4 linked regions of the Neurospora crassa OR74A genome follow. The protein of the gene in region 1 interacts with the protein of each later gene in a pairwise test. Links are inferred from orthologs where the notes say so. Each region holds a gene or a part of one and is shown in the gene's direction. Other genes may lie near its edges.

What was found. The genes of interacting proteins can lie anywhere in the genome.
Region 2: the proteins of NCU07393 (region 1) and NCU02428 interact in binary tests that used the Saccharomyces cerevisiae proteins (3 or more experiments, as listed by UniProt). The link is inferred for Neurospora crassa OR74A from reciprocal best matches to the Saccharomyces cerevisiae genes NOP14 and EMG1.
Region 3: the proteins of NCU07393 (region 1) and NCU03952 interact in binary tests that used the Saccharomyces cerevisiae proteins (3 or more experiments, as listed by UniProt). The link is inferred for Neurospora crassa OR74A from reciprocal best matches to the Saccharomyces cerevisiae genes NOP14 and MPP10.
Region 4: the proteins of NCU07393 (region 1) and NCU00301 interact in binary tests that used the Saccharomyces cerevisiae proteins (3 or more experiments, as listed by UniProt). The link is inferred for Neurospora crassa OR74A from reciprocal best matches to the Saccharomyces cerevisiae genes NOP14 and SAS10.

What each region holds. Positions count from the first base shown.
Region 1 is NC_026501.1:6,089,905-6,093,422, forward strand, and holds the end of NCU07393 (rRNA maturation protein), read left to right. Parts: coding exon 1-747; 3' UTR 748-2,494; downstream 2,495-3,518. UniProt on the Saccharomyces cerevisiae protein: Involved in nucleolar processing of pre-18S ribosomal RNA. Has a role in the nuclear export of 40S pre-ribosomal subunit to the cytoplasm.
Region 2 is NC_026507.1:2,520,302-2,525,439, reverse strand, and holds NCU02428 (nucleolar essential protein 1), read left to right. Parts: upstream 1-1,570; 5' UTR 1,571-1,652; coding exon 1,653-1,704; exon of another isoform or gene 1,705-2,293; coding exon of another isoform or gene 2,294-2,321; coding exon 2,322-2,590; intron 2,591-2,661; coding exon 2,662-3,138; 3' UTR 3,139-3,814; downstream 3,815-5,138. UniProt on the Saccharomyces cerevisiae protein: S-adenosyl-L-methionine-dependent pseudouridine N(1)-methyltransferase that methylates pseudouridine at position 1189 (Psi1189) in 18S rRNA.
Region 3 is NC_026506.1:2,220,854-2,225,996, forward strand, and holds NCU03952 (U3 small nucleolar ribonucleoprotein Mpp10), read left to right. Parts: upstream 1-1,519; 5' UTR 1,520-1,928; coding exon 1,929-4,307; 3' UTR 4,308-4,760; downstream 4,761-5,143. UniProt on the Saccharomyces cerevisiae protein: Involved in nucleolar processing of pre-18S ribosomal RNA. Required for the early cleavages at sites A0, A1 and A2 during 18S ribosomal pre-RNA processing.
Region 4 is NC_026503.1:3,361,837-3,367,059, reverse strand, and holds NCU00301 (Sas10/Utp3 family protein), read left to right. Parts: upstream 1-1,604; 5' UTR 1,605-1,753; coding exon 1,754-3,148; intron 3,149-3,206; coding exon 3,207-3,695; 3' UTR 3,696-3,899; downstream 3,900-5,223. Other genes in the region: NCU00302 (3-ketodihydrosphingosine reductase tsc-10), read right to left, coding at 1-849, 920-1,075; gpr-5 (PQ loop repeat protein), read left to right, coding at 5,185-5,223. UniProt on the Saccharomyces cerevisiae protein: Primarily required at the G2/M phase. Essential for viability: involved in nucleolar processing of pre-18S ribosomal RNA as part of the ribosomal small subunit (SSU) processome.

The sequences.
Region 1 (3,518 bases):
AACACTCTCTGCTCGCTCGCTGCTGAGAAGCCCAAGGAAAAGCTTGGTCTGTTCCCCGTTCACGAGCCCGCTGCTGGCATCCGTGTCAAGGGTGCAAGCAAGGTGACCGTCAGGAAGCTCAACTGCGGTGACTGCCAGCAGCCCAAGAGCGCTCGCTCCACCAGCGACGACTCCGCTCTGAAGGTTGCCATTATCAGCACCATCACCTCCGTTCTCAGGACTGCTTCCGAAACATGGTGCAAACTCCCCGCATTCTACGAGACCTTCCAGCCCGCCCAGCGCGTGCTCCAACACCTGACAACCAAGTCCAACGCCGCCCAGCTCCCTGCAGCCCTCGTCAAGCAGCTTAAGGACGCAACGACAAGCATCTCCCGCCTCCTCCAGCTCGCCCAGGTTTCCCGCAGGCCACTCGAGCTGCACCACCACAAGCCGCTCGCCATTAAGACGTACGTGCCCAAGTTTGAGGATTCGTTTGACCCCAACAAGCACTACGACCCAGACCGCGAGCGCGCCGAGCTGGCCAAGCTGCGGGCCGAACACAAGAAGGAGCGCAAGGGCGCACTCAGGGAGCTCCGCAAGGACGCGGCCTTCATGCAGCGCGAGAACCTCAAGGTCAAGAAGGCCAAGGACGAGGCGTACGAGAAGAAGTACAAGCGCTTGGTGGCGGAGATCCAGGGATCGGAAGGCCAGGCGGCGAACGAGTACGCAAGGGAGAAGGCGGCGAGGCTCAAGAAGAACAAGAGGTAAATGGCTACTTCTTAGAAGGTTCGGGGGTAGCAGTCGGAGTAAGTTTGTGGTTGGCCGTGTTGTTGTTAGTGCCGTTGTTGTTGCTGTCATGTATACATCATCATCAGCGTTCAGTGCAAGTGCAATATTTGGATCATGGGTTGGAGATACCATGTCTATCATATCATCTACTAGTAGGAGTTTTAAGATCATTTCATCATTTGCCAACCCTCAGTACGTACATTATCTACTCCTGATGTTGTTTACATGTGATGTTTACCCAACCCACCAATTTCATCATGGTACTCATCCCTACCTGGAACTTTCAACACTTCAACGAAACTATGTAATTCCGGTTATCGCTATTGATGGCGGAGCCTCATCTGAAGAAAAAGAAAAGAAAAAGCAAACAACAAATAACAAGAAAATGACTGAAGACAAGGAAACACAGCAGTATGGAGTTGCCCTTCGGTCGGCGTGTCCGTCCCGCGGCTATAATTCAAACAATGCCGTTCTTCAATCACTTCCCCCCCTCGTGCCACCCATACTGTACCTCCAGCGCTGGCCCAACGACTAACTACATAGTTAGTTACGACTTACGAACAATATATAAGCGACCTAAACAACTAACAACCGCCGCACGTTATCGTATAACAATATCACTGGACCCCGAAAACCCCTAACCAGCGAAATCGGCGAGAAAGTATTTCCCAGGTACTCAGGTCCCGGGCGGATGCTTGATCAGTATGTATTTTGCCCAGTCTGAACTTTGTAAACTTTCAAAGACAATCCACATCTCTTTGTGGTGGTTTCTAGACGCTATAGGCGCCGTAGACGATGGTGTTGTGTTCATCGGGGAAGTCGGGCACTCTACGACTCTTTTCATTCTTCTCTCTTTCCTTTGCTACATTCTCAATAGCACGCGCCTTTTCTTCTGAGGGGAAGAGGCAAAGAGAATCATAAGCTGATGACCTAGATTCCGCTCCAGTTGGTAGTTGGGTCGATCGGTTGGTTCCGAGTAAGATCAAGATTCCCGTCCCGTCGTCTATGAGGGTCCCCGTGTCTCCCCAGCTCCAGGTTTCCGGCGGCCGCAAAATGAGCCTCACGCACCTCTCAGTTGATCGAAGGCTGGAAGAATGGATGTCAAGGCGACATGTGTCATTGCGATCTTGACATCGATCGCATCTTTGAAGCCATGGATGACTATCGGTGATCCCGCTGTTCAGGACCGATGATTTCGGCTTGCTGTTTCAGTTGGCTGCCTCTAACTATCACCACGATCATGTGTCAAAGCTCGAAGAAGGAGGTGAAGTAATGAAAACAAAAGAAAAACAAGAAAAAAAATCCCATAACACATCAAAAAGCCAATTCGACTCCGTTCCAGCCTAGGCGCCCTCACAGATACGGCCCCCAAAAAGACAGATATGTCTGGTCCACTCCAACTGTATTCTCATACACAGCCTCTTCAAGCGCGCGCTTAGAGGCGCATGTGGATATGATCACCCCAGAGGCCTCCTGATGAGGCTCTTCCTCGGCAGTCACTCACATGATACTTTGTCAAAACGATGTATTCTTTCCTACTAGAAATCCCATCAGGGTTCACTTTTCGGCTCCCTTTTCCGAGAGCATAGTAGGTCTCAAAAGCGGGTCGCCGGGCTGTGGAAGATTGAGGCTGTGTGCAGTGTTGTTTTGACGTGGTGAGTTTACTAGTTACCTAGTGGGTTTCGAAACATCTAAACGTGCCCATTTCCGCGTATCAACAAAAATCGCCCCCACATCATTGACCGAAATGTTTGGGCAAAGGGGAGGGGACTGGGTGGAAACGGAAGTGGCCAAAGAAAGACAATGTGGCCATGAGATCCTAACGAGTTGGAAGCCATTCACGATCCGAAAACGACGAGTGGTCAAGGCTGAGCCAGAAACACAAAAAACTCCACGATATTTTTCCACAATGAGGTAGATGGACAGATATGGGTGGAAATCATGCCTTCTGCGACCTGTTGAGCTGAACAGTTAATGACATGTCGTTCCAGCCTCACCTCACGTTCATGCTATCAGACATTGTCAACTCTCTTGTTGACCGAATAGACAGACGGCTGCTGCTACTGCTGCTGCGCCTCTACATATATCCAACCAAGCTGGGATCGACCAGCTTAACCAATCCCTGGCTTGCAGTCAACGGCGAAGCCATTAGCGGCAGAGTGAGGCGCGGATACTCAACGGGAGTCGGGAACCGTACCACTAGTAGGGCGATTGCCGGGCGAATTATGACCGCCACCATGCTTCTCCTACCGTGCGGCGGCGTGCAACCTCTTATAATCCAGTTCAACAAAACCTCACTGTCCTTGTCTCGCCGCTTCGAGTCTGTGACCTTGAGGCTGTGAAGTGTCAATTTTCGAGCGGTTGGAAGTAGACAGCATCTGCAAAACTAGTATGGATGCGGCTGGGATCGACCATACCATATAGAATCCGGTAGCGAGATGCTCAGCCGTCCAGCTCCTGTGTTTCCTGGCTCAGTGAATGGTCGTCAGTTATTTAGCTGACTGGTGAACGTTTCGCTTGAAGGGTAAAAGCGGGGTGAGGATTGACTGCGCTACAGTATTCTAAACTTTAGCTGTGTGGTGCCGTGCCGTCCGTATGGACGGGAGGGCAAAGCGGGAGGCGCAAATCCAGGGGGTCTTGGTCTTTTGACTTGATTGTCCAGGAACATAAGAGAAGAGGTAATGACTGGAAAGGTTAGTAGTGATTGTTGTCCACACGGACGAGGATGCATGTTGCTTGGTCTGCTGCCA
Region 2 (5,138 bases), on another chromosome or scaffold:
ATTATTTAGTATAGTGAAAATTATTTTGGTTAGAGAGGTTGCGGGGAGTAGTTATAGCTTCGGAGGTAGAAATGGAGGTTTAGGCAGTAGAAAGAGCGACGGAGGTAGTAATAAATTTAATAGTTATTAGAATAATTCAAGAGAATCTTATTTAATTGAATTTAGTTACTTAGAATTAATTGTATTTAATTATTTAATTTTATTAGACTAAGCTATTAATCTAGGAGGTAGTTGGATTAATTTAGTAAAGGGTAATTTACTATAGGTTGAAGGATAGTTCGTTTATCCGACGATAGTACTATTATAATTAATTAGGTTATTAAAGTTATTAGTAAAGTAATTTTCTTATTAAAATAAATTATTATATATTAATAAATTATTAGGCGGATTATTAGCTAGGCCGGGGTTAGTTAAATTATAGTTAGCTATAGTATTGAAATTAGCTTTTAGATTATAGTATATTTAATTACAATTATTAATGAATAATAGTATTGAGAATAAAGAAAGTACTTAGTAGGAGTATAGATAAGAAGTAGGAGTAGAAATACGTTTAAGAATTGAGTAATTGGTAGACGGGGTTACCCTTTATATTGAGGTCTGTAGGTATTCGGATTAGGGTAGTATAATATAATATTTTAATTAATACGAACCAATACAAGTAAATTGGTATAGTATAATTAGGAAGCGCGGGGAGAAGGTATAAGGGAAGGATTGGGAAGGATTTAGAGATATAATAGTAAAGGATTGTTATTATTGTTTGCGATTGCAGGGTTGGTGTTGAGCGATATAGGGTCTTTGCGATTAGAGGTTTAATGAACCGTTTGAAGATTAATTAGTTTACTTAGTTAAAGGTTCTAATTGAAAGGGGTTTAGTTTGGTTAATTAATTTTTAATTGTAGCTACTATTTGATACGGGTAATTGGAGCGCTCTGTAAATAATAGTATGATGATATTTGAAAGCGTTATGAAAAATGATGTAGAAGGAAGAACTAGAAGCTAACGGCTAGCCTAGAGGGTAAGCCTTGGGAAGGCGGTTCTGACGGTACCATTTTTATAAAGCTCGGACCACCCATTAAAGTAATGTAGCCTTGAGGGGGTAAAAGTCCAAAAGTTCAAAGCCTTGTATTTCGACGATTTTTAGTCGTATGAGGGAACTAAGGCTACCATTGGAATCAGAATAAAATGTTCTATATAAGAGTAATTTTTATTTATCTTTACTAGCTTCCTTGAATTTATAATATATAATAATATATAGTTGGGTCCTACAGCGGCTGACGGCCGAAATGCTCAAAATTGGCTCAGACCTGCTACCGCAGAAACGGGTGGGGTGGGGTGGTTTTGGAGGTTGTGGGTCTGACTGAGACTATTTCAAACGATGCTTTCTTGTGAGGACTGATGGTTGCCGGCGCGCGATATCAATGCCAAGCTTGGGGTAGGGGCTGACTGCTCTCAGTTCGTATGGCCCCACACAGTCGGTTTATCCAGGTCGTGTTATCGAGCTTCGTGAACATATAAAAGGGCACGTGCGCCCGCGCACCCGCGCTCTGGGCTCTCGTCTCGTTCTTCCTCCAACTTTTCCGCTTCAATCTTGCTGCCATCAAGGGTCCATTTGGTTTTCCATCGTTGTCTTTGCTCCGTGCTCCCCTGCCACCATGTCGTCCGGATCATCTTCCCCAGAACACCCCCGTGCTGGCAAGCGGCCTCGTAAGTACCCTCCTCGACCTTTTAATCTCTTCTATGTCAGATAATCATTTTGGTTTGGGCCCTGAATGCGAGGTGTTGCGGCGCTCGAGGTATGAAGTTTTTCGGAGGTTTGAGGGGCGGGCTTGAGCGTTCCCAAGCTGTATTGCTGCGTGTGTCCCGGTTCCGTTGTTGCCAAGCATCATAGCGCATGCGCAGCGCAGAGGACCAAAAAAAATCAAACAAAAAAATCGACGGGAACACCCTGACGGGAAAGACGCCGCAAAGACGTACTACTACTGTACACGGAAAGAGGGGCCCGGGAAGCCTGGAACTTCGGTACCCCACTCTCTTTTGACTGATCGCCAATGGTGGCCAATGCCATTTCGTTTTTTTCGCTCGAAAACTCGAAAGGCCGTCTTGTCTCCATTCTTGCGTTCTCTTGGCTACACATCATCCATCGTCCCGTCCCTAGCACCATCACGACGACCATATCAGCAACTATCATCAAACCTACCGTTTCTACCAGCGCCGCCGCCTGCCATTTCTCCTACCTGTCGTTGCCCCCGGACATTTGGTTATTCGATTATTGAGTGAGCTTCAGGTTTTCAACATGTCTAACCACGACGTGACCATGGCAGGCACCCAGTCGCTCCCTCCTCCGGCACTGCCCCAACTCGTTGCTGAGCAGCACATGCCCATCCCACCTACCGACAAGGATACTAAGAGGCTCATCGTGGTACTCTCCAACGCCAGTCTCGAGACCTACAAGGCGTCCCACGGCGGCTCTGGCCGCATGGGCATGCAGCGAGAGGAAAAATACTCGCTCCTCAATAGCGATGAGCACATTGGTGTCATGCGCAAGATGAACAGAGATATCAGTGACGCTCGCCCCGACATTACTCACCAGGTTGGAAACACTCCCAGTCTGCATTCAACATGCGGATACTGCTACTGACACTCGCCATTTGTGTACTCTAGTGCCTCCTCACGCTCCTTGACTCGCCCGTCAACAAGGCCGGCAGGCTGCAGATCTATATCCAGACCGCCAAAGGGGTCCTGATCGAGGTCTCGCCTGCTGTCCGTATACCCCGCACTTTCAAGCGCTTCGCTGGTCTCATGGTCCAGCTTCTCCATCGTCTGTCCATCAAGGGAACCAACTCACAGGAAAAGCTCTTGAAGGTGATTCAGAACCCTATTACGGACCACCTGCCTCCCAACTGCCGCAAGATTACGCTCAGCTTCGACGCCCCCGTTGTGCGCGTTCGCGAGTACATCGACGCTTTGGGCGAGAATGAGAGCATTTGCGTCTTTGTAGGCGCCATGGCCAAGGGCGCCGATAACTTTGCGGATGAGTATGTCGATGAGAAGATTTCCATCAGCAATTATAGCTTGTCAGCCAGCGTAGCGTGCAGCAAGTTCTGTCACGCCGCTGAGGATGCGTGGGACATCATTTAATCGACAATCAAACCGTGGTGAGGAACATGGAGGGATGGGTGAAAGGTCTGTTTGCCTTTCTCACGCGTGAGAGAGGCTGCGGGGGCTTTGGCCAGCTTCGTGATACAACATCGCGATTTTGCGGGCTAGAGCCTCCGGAACTTGGGTCGCCTGTGATTGCGCTGTCGCTGTTTTTGCAACCAAAACATGGGGCGTTCAACAACGGACTCAAGACGCTTTCATCGTCTACGCAAGACCATTCAACCTGGCCTGCCTTCCCTCCTCTCCTTTCGTCATATACTCTTCTTCGCCTCTTCCTAGCTCTTTCATACGTCCAGCCTTAGCTAGTCAATACTATCTTCTTGCGGATACAAAGTTCTCGGGTCAAGTGAAACGCAATTTTTTGTCGAGCGAACGCTTGCCATGCGCCATTCCAACTCAGACATTGCCATGACGGAAAGAAGGGCAAGTAGCGACTTGCCCAGTTAGTATCAGTGGTAGAGAATGGGAAGTGACGCACTGGAACCATGTTTTGTCATCCTTCTTTTTTGCTTACACGATATCAGCACTACTACCTAGTAGCCATCTACCACAGGTCAGTGTTTTCGTGGGTTGCTCGTTTTTCGGACTGCGACGCCTCACTACCCTCCTCTCCTTCCCAATGCCTTTATTCTCCCAAATAAAGCATTTGCAAAACAATGTGTCTCCCTTGCTGCGTAAGCTCGTTTGATTTCATTTTCACGTGCCTGTATCTCTTTCCATGGCCATTTGAAAGCCTGACGAATAGTGCCGTGTACTCGCAATGTACAAGAAGCGTACAGGCCTTGATGTATCTCACATGGCATTCTTCATTCGGCCAATAAACCGCGGAAAGTAACACCCTGGGCATTGGCGTTTGGCCACTGGGTCTTCAGACCGATTGGATCATGGGCTGCAGGACCATATCACCTGTGGATATGAAATGGTTATCCCAGTTGCCGTCAGCCTGGCATTTACTCCCGAGACTGTTCGTATGAACGCGCACTGGAGCACTCCCCGCCTTTGCTGTGCCTTGCAAATTTGTGAATTGGATCTTTTGGGTTTGAATGATCTACAATGCTTGTGCTCCAGGAACACACAACCCAGTGGTAACAGGAAAGATGTGTAAAATGTAGTGTTGCTAATATTTTCTTTGAAATTTTTTTTTTATAAATGAAAATATGATGATAGTTTGATATTCTTCATACATGGAAAGCCCAAAAACTTTTTGTAAGACTTAAGACCGAGCACGTCGTTCAGTTTCCGGTCTAGTTGGGTTTGGTTATTGGGCCTTTTTTTTTTTTTTTTTTTTTTTTTTTTTTTTTTTTTTTTTTTTTTTTTTTTTTTTTTTTTTTTTTTTTTTTGGCACCGTTTGACATGCTAATTTTACACTCAGGCTGATTCGGTTACGAGAAGCCTTACATTGCACTACATACAAGCTTTCGACTTGGGCACCCCGGCACCCAGGCACCGAAGCGTTTACCGCAACCGTGGCGATGCATACCAGACCATAAGGATGGCTTGTCAGGCGGCGGCACAGTCGTGACCGTCAGTGAGCGGCAATGGCCAGCAGTTGTCCACGGAAAATCCTGCAGTGCGAGTGCAAATCAGTTCCCATCAGATCATCAAAGGGGAGAAGCTGGAAAAAGTAGGAATGTTCTTGCAAGGTTGCATTTGCCTAAAAGGGCGGAGATGGGTTTTCGCCAATGGAGATTCTCCCGCCCTCGATCGCCAGTCAGCCAAGTCAGGCCGGTTGGCCGGGTCGCGTTAGGTTCGCTGTCTTGCCTCCCATCACCACCAACCACAGGACTGCATACTTTGGCAGTTCGGGATGCTCTTTTACACTATACGCTGCAGTGACTAAATATCTCCACGGATGAGCCCGAAAATAGGCGCCTGGGACCCACAATTACCATGAAACTGCCATTACCGCCTCATGAGAGGGGAGTTGAAGCGCATCAGCCCCAAAGGGGATATGCCTTTCCACTTACCTACACTTGTGA
Region 3 (5,143 bases), on another chromosome or scaffold:
CAAGTCGTGTTGTGAAGACCTGTTGTGGGATGCAGTTTCTCCTCTCACCCTCACATAGAGCCTGCCAGAAGGGAGGCGGATATGGAAAATAGAAAAGAATGAATCGGCCCGTCCGGATTTTCACAAGGAGATCTCCTTCGCTTGACAAATTAGGTAACATCCGGCAACTCAAAAGTATTTCCCGTCCCTCCATCTCGACGTATCTTCCAGCTCTGTAACCAAACAGTGTGCGATTGGCAGTTACATAGTGTGAGCCAACCGAAACTTCTCTCGCGACCTCCTGTACGACTTTGGAAATGTTGCCGTTAACTTGGCCATTCTACTCTAGGTAGGTAGCAGAGATAGATGGTGTGATGCGATTGGACCGAGCAACGCCACTTAGCGATCAAGTTCATGTGTCGTACTATACAGGAGGCCACTGACACTTGATGGGATCCTCGCCGTTCACGACAGCAAGTTAGTGGTTACATAGCAAACATCTTCACCGTGAGGTTCACAGTTATTTCCCGGCGAACATGAAAAAGAGGTCATATTGAGAGCACGCAACGCACGACCATAGAGGCTGGGATCACCAAAGCCACCATCGCCCTCACATTGACCTCGGCAACCGCTAAAGAACATGATACAATTCCCTGGCCTGGGATACGAAGGTCTTGAGTATCACTCGCAGCTCGGCTCGGCGGGACACTCTCCCGCGAGTTGCATTCAATGAAGGCTTAGACGGTCCAGACCCTAATGCAGCACGTCAACGCTGCTGTCGTATTTTGAAAGAATACCTCATGGTCCGTCAAAATTCTCACGGGCGATACCATATGCATAGGGATGTGGCTTGTGAAGGAACTTCAACAAGTGTTATGACTTGCAGCATCTTTCCCCGAAGGTGCGCAAATAACACCCTTACATTTCTACTATGTAATAAGAGCTTTCTCTGCACGTTATCCAGACCATGAAGAAGAGCCGGCTGGGTAAGTAGCCTACCTCTACAGAAAATAGTCCATCAACGTCTGTCGCAGAGATCTCATTACGATGTTGAAAAGAACACGAGAAGCATACTGTAATGTAGCTAGTATGAGGCAAACCTAGCGCTCTTCCTCAATGGGGTTAATCGTTGGTTTAACATTTTACAGTTCTTGCACAATTTAATTACCTTTTACCGTTTGACAAGAAACTTCCAGTTACGACGAAAGTGAAGCGGCGAAAGATACAATAGACTATGTACGAGCTGATGGGATTGATAGGGTAGTCTGGAATTTTAGATAAGGAAGTGCTGATAACAAGCTAGGTGCCTGTGTCGAAACGGCGACTTCACCTATCCAACAGCACTGGAGATCGTTGCGTGATTGCTTACTGAGTTTCCAGTAACTTCAGAGTAACTCGCTAGCGTATGCTATATTTAAAAAAAGGTCATTGTGAATTCATCCCCTCTCTCAAGCTTGATGTCGAGCATCTCCTTTGAGACTGCATGCACTTTGTGGTTTGTTTACTTGACATTGTCATCCGATTATAAGTGTTAAGGCAACCTCGTCTTATAGCGGTGCACCGCCCTGAAGCTTAACAACAAGAGAAGTGGGACCTACTTCCATTTCCAGAGAGCAGAATCACCCATCATTGGTCAATTCACAGCCAGCCCCATAAGCTGGTGCGGGGACGCCTGCCTCCACGCTTCGCCGTTTCCTGGACCTTGGAGAGCGCTATGGCAGAAAAAATTTTGGTCCATCAATATCGCCGGCTGGCAACCAAACATCGTCAGGTCGAACTTTTTTTTGTTTTGGTACGGGCAACGGCAAACACCGACGCCCTGCCATTTCTTAGTCAAGCGTCCATATTGAACCCTCAAGTCAGACACTTGTATGACAAGGCCAGCCTCGATACCCTAGCCTTGATTGATCTTCTTACAGCATTAGTCCAACCCTACCTAAAAAACAGACATGGCAGCTGGCAGCATAACCTCTTCCGTAACCTCGACATCCCAAACAATCACCCACGACCCCTCCACACACAACAGCGTCATGGCCGCTACCCTCGCCGCATCGTCGAGCGGCAGCACCTCTCCTTCGACAATTGCCAACAACCCCGTCGTCGCCTCCTTCCTCTCGGCCCTGGCCGACGAGTCCAACCGCCACGTCTTCCTGCAGCCGCCCTCGACCCTTCCCGCCGGATCCCTCCTGCTCGCCAAGGAGACCCTCGACGCGCTCGCCTCGCAGGTCAGTGACCACCAGCAGGCAAAGCTGAAAGAGATCGCGGCCACCATCGGTGGAAAGAAGCGCAAGCGTGAGGCTGGCTATGACAAGAATGCCGTGCTCAAGATTCGCAAGCTGCACGTCGACGACGGCTTCGAGACGGAGCAGATTTGGCAGCAGGCCAAGAAGATCATTGCCAGCGCCACAAAGGAGGCTGGCGATGTGCTGAAGGAGCTGGAGGAGAACGGGATTGTGGGCACCGGCGAGGAACAAGAGAAGACCATTGAGTTTGGAGAGGATGGGTTTGAGCTTGGTTCTGATGAGGAGGAGGAGGACGATGAGGAGGATGCTGATAGCGAATCTGGTTCTGGCTCTGAAGGAGAAGAGGATGAGGAGGATGACGAAGAAGAATTAGAAGGAGAAGAGGGCAGCCAGATCGACGACGATGAAGAAATCGAGATCGATGGCGAAGAGGTTGAATTCTCGGACGAAGATGGAGAAGGAGAGTTTGATGAGGAGGAGGAGGAAGAAGAAGAAGAAGAAGAAGAAGAAGAAGAGGAAGAGGATGCGCCAGAACTTGTCGAGGATCCCAACGGCCTCAACGACGGCTTCTTCTCAATAGACGACTTCAACCGGCAGACACAGTTGTGGGAGGACGCGGATGCCCGTGCGGACCCCAACGTCGATGCCGACAGCGACGACGAACAGCTAGACTGGCACGCCGATCCTTTCGCGACAAAGCCAAAATCAAAGAAGGGCAAGAGCGACAAGAAGAAGGACGAAGACCAGGATGAGGACGACGTCGACATGGGCGATGAATCCGAAGACGACGAGGCCCTCGAGGCTGCTGCCGCCGCCCACGCCAAGAAACTCAAGGGCAAGAAGAACGTGGAGCAGCTCGAGGACGATGGCGACGATCTCGGCCTTACAGATGGTGTTCTCGGTATGGACATGGACCTTACCGCCAACGACATTTACTACAAGGACTTCTTCGCGCCACCTCAAAAGAAGAAGACCGGCAACCAAAGGAAAGGAGGCTATTTCCCCAAGAAACTTGAGCAGCCAGATGAGGCCGATATGGAGAGAGCCGAGAATGATGTGCGCCGCGATCTCTTCGACGACATCTCGGAGAATGAAGATGAAGATAAGCTCTCGGATCTTGATGCTGGTGATCCGAGATCTCGCCGGTCCGCCCACGAGCGCAGACAAGCCAAGATTGCCGAGGAGATCCGCAGGCTCGAGTCTGAGCTAGTTGCCAAGCGCGCCTGGACTCTGTCCGGTGAGGCTTCCGCGCAAGCTCGTCCCATGAACTCGCTCCTGGAGGAAGACCTCGAGTTTGAGCATGTCGGAAAGCCTGTCCCCGTCATTACCGAGGAGGTTTCCGAGACGATTGAGGCGCTCATCAAACGCCGCATTCTTGCCAACGAGTTCGACGAGGTTCTCAGGAGACGTCCTGACACCCTCAATAACCCCAACAACGCGCGCCGCGGTCTCGTTGAGATCGACGACACCAAGGGCAAGCAGTCTCTCGCCGAGATCTACGAGGAGGAGCACATCAAGAAGGCCAACCCGGACGAGTACGTCAGCGCTTCGGACGAGAAGCTCACGCGCGACGAGGCCGAGATCAAGAACATGTGGAAGGACATCTGCGCCAAGCTCGACGCCCTCAGCAGCTGGCACTACAAGCCTAAACCCGCCGCACCCACCATCAGCGTTGTCACCGACGTCGCCACCGTCGCCATGGAGGACGCCATGCCCACCACGGCCCAGGGTGTGTCGGGTGGCGAGAGCACGCTCGCGCCCCAGGAGGTGTACGCCCCCGGCAAGGACTCAGTCGAGAAGGGCGAGGTCGTGGCCAAGAGCGGCCTGCCGATTGCCAAGGAGGAGATGAGCCGCGAGGAGAAGGCTAGGAGACGCAGACGCGAGAAGGAGCGCATCCGCAAGGCCGGCGGCCTGGATGCGAACAAGAACATCAGCAAGGGTGCCCAGGAACGCAAGGAGACGATGAGCCAGCTCAAGAAGGGCGGTGTCAAGGTTATTAACCGGAAGGGTGAGACGGTTGGGTTGGATGGCAAGAAGATCGCGGAGCAGAAGGGTCCTACGTCGAGTGGTGCCTTCAAGCTTTAAAGGTCGGGTTGTTAGACGAGGGATAGACGTAGGAAGAAGATGGATGATACCCTGATGGGTTGGACGGGTGGGCAGTCTTGGCTAAGGGCGATCTGTAAAGGTCTTTTTCTTTTGTATGGAATAGGTACATAATTGGGAGTTCAAAAACTATGCATGAGTTTGTTTTTCATCGGCCGTCAGCCGGTATACAATGCTCAACTGTTCACGTTCAACATTGTCGAAGATGATTCTTGTGTGCCTAATATTATGGAGTCAGTACAACAACTAATCCTGGCCCTCTCCAACCTCATTGCTCTGTTTCCCCTCATGCTTTCCTTCTGTTACCCGTCACTATTCTCCGTGTGATCTTTCCTCCAATTCAGCCCAGATCATAGCGACTCATAACTTGGTACCTACCTCTACCTCCACAGGTCTACAAAGTGAAAAAATGCAAAATCAGTCTAGCTATCCACCCTCAGCCAAATTGGTAACTCTCCATTTTCATTACATCTTATTAGTATTTGGGATTGCCTACCCCTACTACTAGCTTGCCCTTTATCAAAAAAAAAAAAAAAAAAAAAAAAAAAAAAAAAAAAAAAAAAAAAAAAAAAAAAAAAAGAAAAGAAAAGAAAGAAAAAAAATAAAAGGAAAAAAAAAGAAACAAAAAAAAAGGAAAAAGGAAAAAGTTCCCTCTACCTTGTTCAAGGCTATCTGTACCCCGGACCTCAGGTTTTGGTTGATTAAGAAGAAGTGAAGAGAGAAGTGAAGAGAGAAGTGAAGAGAGAAGTGAAGAGAGAAGTGAAGAGAGAAGTGAAGAGAGAAGTGAAAAGGGGATAACCCGAGGCTGAAGAGACCAT
Region 4 (5,223 bases), on another chromosome or scaffold:
GAAGTAGATGATCGGTATGAGCCACCCCATCAACGTGTCCAGCACCCAGTTGTTCCTCGGCGACCCGCCCATGATCCCGCACTGCATCAGCCTTCCCAGGAATGACACATCGACAAAATACTTGCCAGCCTCCAGCCCGGCAATCGCCCTCCTTGCTACCGTATCCGGGCTTTCCGCTGGCTCGTCCTTTTCCAGCTCCACCGTGATGTCCGGCTTCGTCTGATTTTCCCTCTCGTAGCCCGGTGATACAATCGTGCCGGGATACACAATGTGCACCTTGACCGGGTTATCTGGGTAGTAATTGACCTCCATCGCCAGGGTATCCGCCAGTCCTCTCAGCGCCCATTTGGTTGGGGTGTACGGGCCATAGCCCAAAATCGCAAAAAGCGCCAACATTGACGCGGTAAATACCAAGTGCTTCGGCTCTCCGTTGGGTCCCGTGCTGTTTTCGGGTGCCAGCCACTCCCTCAAAATCGCCCGCGACATCTCCGCCGACCCAAAGTAGTTGACGTCCATGTTGCGGCGTGCGGCCGCCATGCTGCCATCGTCGGTCCACAGCAGAGGCGTCGACATGCCGGCCACGCACCAGACGATGTCCGGGGAGCGCCCGCCATTCCAGGCGATAGCTTCGGCGAGGACCGCGGCGGCGTAGTCGTGCTCGGAAACGTCGGCTGAGATGTAAGTGAAGCGTTGTGTGGACGGGTTCTTGGCGGCGGCGCGGACGTCGACGAGGGCTTCTTCAAGGCGCCCGACGTTGCGCGAGACGAGGATGACATTGGCGCCCTTTTGCGAAAGTTGGATGGCCGCTGAGCGGCCCATGCCTTCGGAGGCGCCGGTTAGGAGGACGGTCTGGTAACAGGGGTTGAGTTAGTGTTGTTTGGAGGTCGGGTCAGGTCGGGTGAGGCTTCGGGGCGCATACCCGGCCCTCGACTGGCATGTGGTTTTTGGAGCTGAAGAGACCCATTGTAGCAAATATGCCAATGGCCGCGACGACGGCTGCAACTGGGAGAGACCAGGAGGTGCTGAGGGTTTTCAATTGTTCCATCAGCGACTCTGAGAAGAGATAATGGTTCATCCTTCCTTGGATCGTGAAAGAAGATCGGGCTCGAGGAAAGTGGAATTGTTGACGCGGCGGCGCCTAAGCTATTCTGTATACGTCTAGAGTACGAACGAGTACCTCTACGGCGTAAATTTAGTGGATGCTGTCAGCAGTTCCCGTCGTACTGGAGCTTACACCCCTGTCTGTAAGTGACTTGTTGATGGGTGATGATTCGACCGATTTCTTCGCACTCCGTAGGAAAATGAGGTTTCTGGAACCATTTGCTGGAGTTTGCGTTTTCGAGTCTTCAGAAGCGGTTTTCTCTACTGTCATAACTGAACCCATTGAGGTCATGTCAACGTAAATCTGGCAGGCCTGGGGGGCATCTTGGAGCTTCCCGTCGACCCTGAGGACGGGATGGAAGCTTTGACCATTTCAGATGTAACTGTGGAGCATCTTCAATTGTGGGGTTAGGCAGCCTGCATGAGAGTGGAGCTGGGCGGTCGAGGTTCCGCTGAGAATGGATCGCAAATTGACAAGAGCAAAAAAATTCTGCCGCTTCAACATTTGTTGCCCGCCTAGCGAACGAACCCACCAGCCCATTCAACGAGCATCTCCAAGTGCCTTTTGGCAGCGTCTTCACGTCAACGTTTCTCAGTCGCGCCAAACTCCATCCAACACGCCTGAATAGATAACCGCGACACAAACGCAAAAATGGCGAAGAAGAGAAAAGCCCCGAGACCGACCGGTCCCGCCGAGCCTCGCGAGGTCGATGCCAAGGACGCCCGCCTTACCGTTAAGACTTACAAAGATGTCGCCAACTCCGAAGACGAATACTGGGAGAACCAGGATCGCATCGACTTTGACGACAGCGATGATGGCAGACAATCCAAGCGCAGGCGCCAAGACAAGGAGGAGGAGTTCCTAGAGGCTTCTGACGAGGAGGTTTTCGAGGAGGACGAATCCGATGAGGAGAGCGAACACGAAGACGCCGCGCCCGCGAAGGGCAAGAAGGTCAAGACAACAGTACTTTCCGACGAAGAGATGGGTGGTGAAGAGGAGGAAGAAGGTGACGAAGGATGGTGGGGTTCCTCCAGAAAGGACTACTACAATGCCGACCAGATCGAGACCGAGGCCGATGCCTTGGAGGAAGAGGCTGAGGCAAAGAGGCTCCAGGCCAAGAAGTTGGCCAAAATGTCCGAGGCCGATTTCGCGTTTGACGAGAGCGAATGGCTAGGAACCAAGGAGGAGGCCGAGGGAGAGGAGGATGTCATTACCGAGAAACTCAACGAGATCGAAGTCACAGAGGACATGGGGCCGGAAGAAAGATACAAGCTTCTACAGAGCCGATATCCCGAGTTTGACTACCTGGCGCAGGAGTTTAGGGAGCTGCAGCCGATTCTCACAACTCTTCAAAAAGAGGCCGAGGGCAAGCCTGCCAAGTCTCTGGAGATGGTCAAGTTCTGGACTCTTGGGTGTTACATCGCTTCACTCGCCAGTTATTTCGCTATCCTGACTTCGCCAGCAAGAGACAGCCAAGGTGTGTCCAAGACGATCAGCCCTACGGAACTCAGGGACCACGAGGTTATGGGCACGTTAATGAGCTGTCGCGAGGCCTGGCTTAAGGTCAAGGAACTCAAGCCGCTCAAGAGCGTCTCCTCGACCAGCGGCATGCTTTCGCCACCCGAAGATGAGGGCGAGTATGATGACCTGTCTGACGACGATATGGAGGACTTCAAGAAGATGCTCAAGAAGAGCAAGCGCGAATCCAAGGCTGAGCTCAAGGCCAAGGCGAAGAAGGAGGCCGAGAAGGCCAAGAAGGCCAGGGCTGTCGAGCAGTCTCTTGCCGATCTCTCCAGTTTGCTTGAAACCACCAAGACGGCAACCAAGGCCAGCAAGAAGTCTGTCAAGGTCGACAAGCGCGATGACGATGAGCGCTCCGACTTTGGTGACGAGGAGATCCTTGAAGCTCACGTGGCCAAGGAGAAGGCTGCTCGCAAGAAGAGTCTCAAATTCTACACCTCCCAGATTGTGTCCAAGTCCGCCAAGCGTGCGGATGCGGGTCGCAACGCCGGTGGTGATGACGATCTTCCCTACCGTGAGAGATTTGTAAGTCGGCCATTGCCTAAAAAACATGCCGTGTTGTCATATACTGACTTTTGCGCAGAGAGACAGGCAAGCACGGCTCAACGCCGAGGCCGAGAAGCGCGGCAAGAAAGACAGCAAGCACGGCGCCGTGCTGGGCGAGGGCGACAGCGACGACGAGGACAAGGCCGTTGCCAAGCAGGTGCGCGGAGAGGAGGACGAGTACTACGACATGGTGGCGCACAACGCGGCCAAGAAGAAGGAGGACAAGGCGGCCAAGTACGAGGCTTTGGCGGCTGCCAAGGGCGCCCGGGTCGTGGAGGAGACGACGATCGGCCCCGACGGCAAGCGCCAAATCAACTACCAGATCCAGAAGAACAAGGGCCTCACGCCGCATCGCAAGAAGGAGAACCGCAACCCGCGTGTCAAGAAGAGGATGAAGTACGCGGAGAAGCAGAAGAAGCTCAAGAGCGTCAAGGCCGTGTACAAGGGCGGCGAGGGCAAGGGCGGGTACCAGGGAGAACTGTCGGGTATCAAGACCGGCTTGGTCAAGAGTATCAAGCTTTCTTGATAGGGCTCTGGTTGTCGTGGTTGTTGGACTGGTTTGTAGTACTCTGGGTATATCATGCATGTATAGATTTTTGGGTTGTTGATAATCATGGCCTCAACGGAAATGGAAAAAAGCAGGCTTGCACACACAATGGCATTGTATTTCTTGAACACACTTGATACCTCTTCAAGATCTACAATATCTACAATGTCCAGTATTCTCAACACCGGAGGTCGCCGGTACTCGCACCCTGTTCAATCGTGTTAGTACAGGTTCATGGTAAACCCCGGGTCTGAGAATAGGGCTATATAAGAATCCCTCTCATTTTTTTTCTTTTTCTTTTCCATCCCAATTTTTAGTTCCTCTTCGTTTCTGTGCCCTTCCCTGGCATTTCTTGTGTGCCAGATTCCGAAAGAGCGAAGGCGATGTTGACTTGGAAAGGATACAAGGCCTGCGAGGGAGCCAATAGGAGCTCTGAGACGAATCAATGCAAATGCCCAAATCTCAACTTTGGATAAATGTAACACCACCACATGATAAATTATTAGATTGGGCAGTTTCTGAACAAACACAACATCCTAAACCGAACACTTCAATTTCGTTATCTTCAGTACAGGTATCTTCAACACGGATCGTTCAAGAAGTAGAGGTAATTTTTGGGATGAAACACTGGAATGTTAGAGCAATGATTAGGACATGCCACATTATTTTTTTCCAGTCCACCATGACTTCTTAAACCCACCAGGCAAAAGGAAGAGTTCCAAACCAACAGTCTGTTTTCGGTCTATCCAGAAACCCAGGTTTCCCTCGAAGGGTTCTCATGCTGTTGTTGGATGTTGTTGTACTAGGGTTTCACCTAGCGGTTGACGTACCCCACAAGATCCACCTACAGCCCGGGACGCTTGAGCCGCCTGAGACGTGCATGCTTTTAAGGGCTCTTTTGCCGCCGCCGAGGATGCATTACACGTATCTTGCAGCCAGGCGGGTCAACCTTGGGTCTTGGGGGAACCGGTTTGCGGATGAAGAGGCAAAGGATTTAAAACTAGTCATGCGACCATCAGACTTTTCACCATGTATGACTCGAATCGGATTGTAATCAGGTCGACTCTTTCCTTTGTTCAGCCTTTTTTGTTGACTTTGCATTTTGCATCGTTATCTTGAGCCTCACTTCAGTGTGTACTCTGTAACTCTTTGACCGACCGCTCATGAATCCTCAGGGCGGCTCTCAATTGAAGTGACGTATCTCCTGTCTACCAAACCCACAAAACAAGGACACAACAACAAAGAGCGAGGTGAACTGGGCATCCAAGTTCCAACGAATCTTGGGGGCAAACAACTCAATCGATAAGGCGGGAGAGTAAAGCGCATCAACAAAAACGCTTTCATTCAACCATCGCATCCTTCCTCACGCTTAAACCCACAAGTATTCTCAACCTGTACCTATCAAGAGACGGTTGCACAAAACAGTGAGACAGCATTACACGCGGTCCTACGGACAACAGCAGCCACCATGGCGCCCCCGACCGAACTCCTCAACCTCGACGTCGAG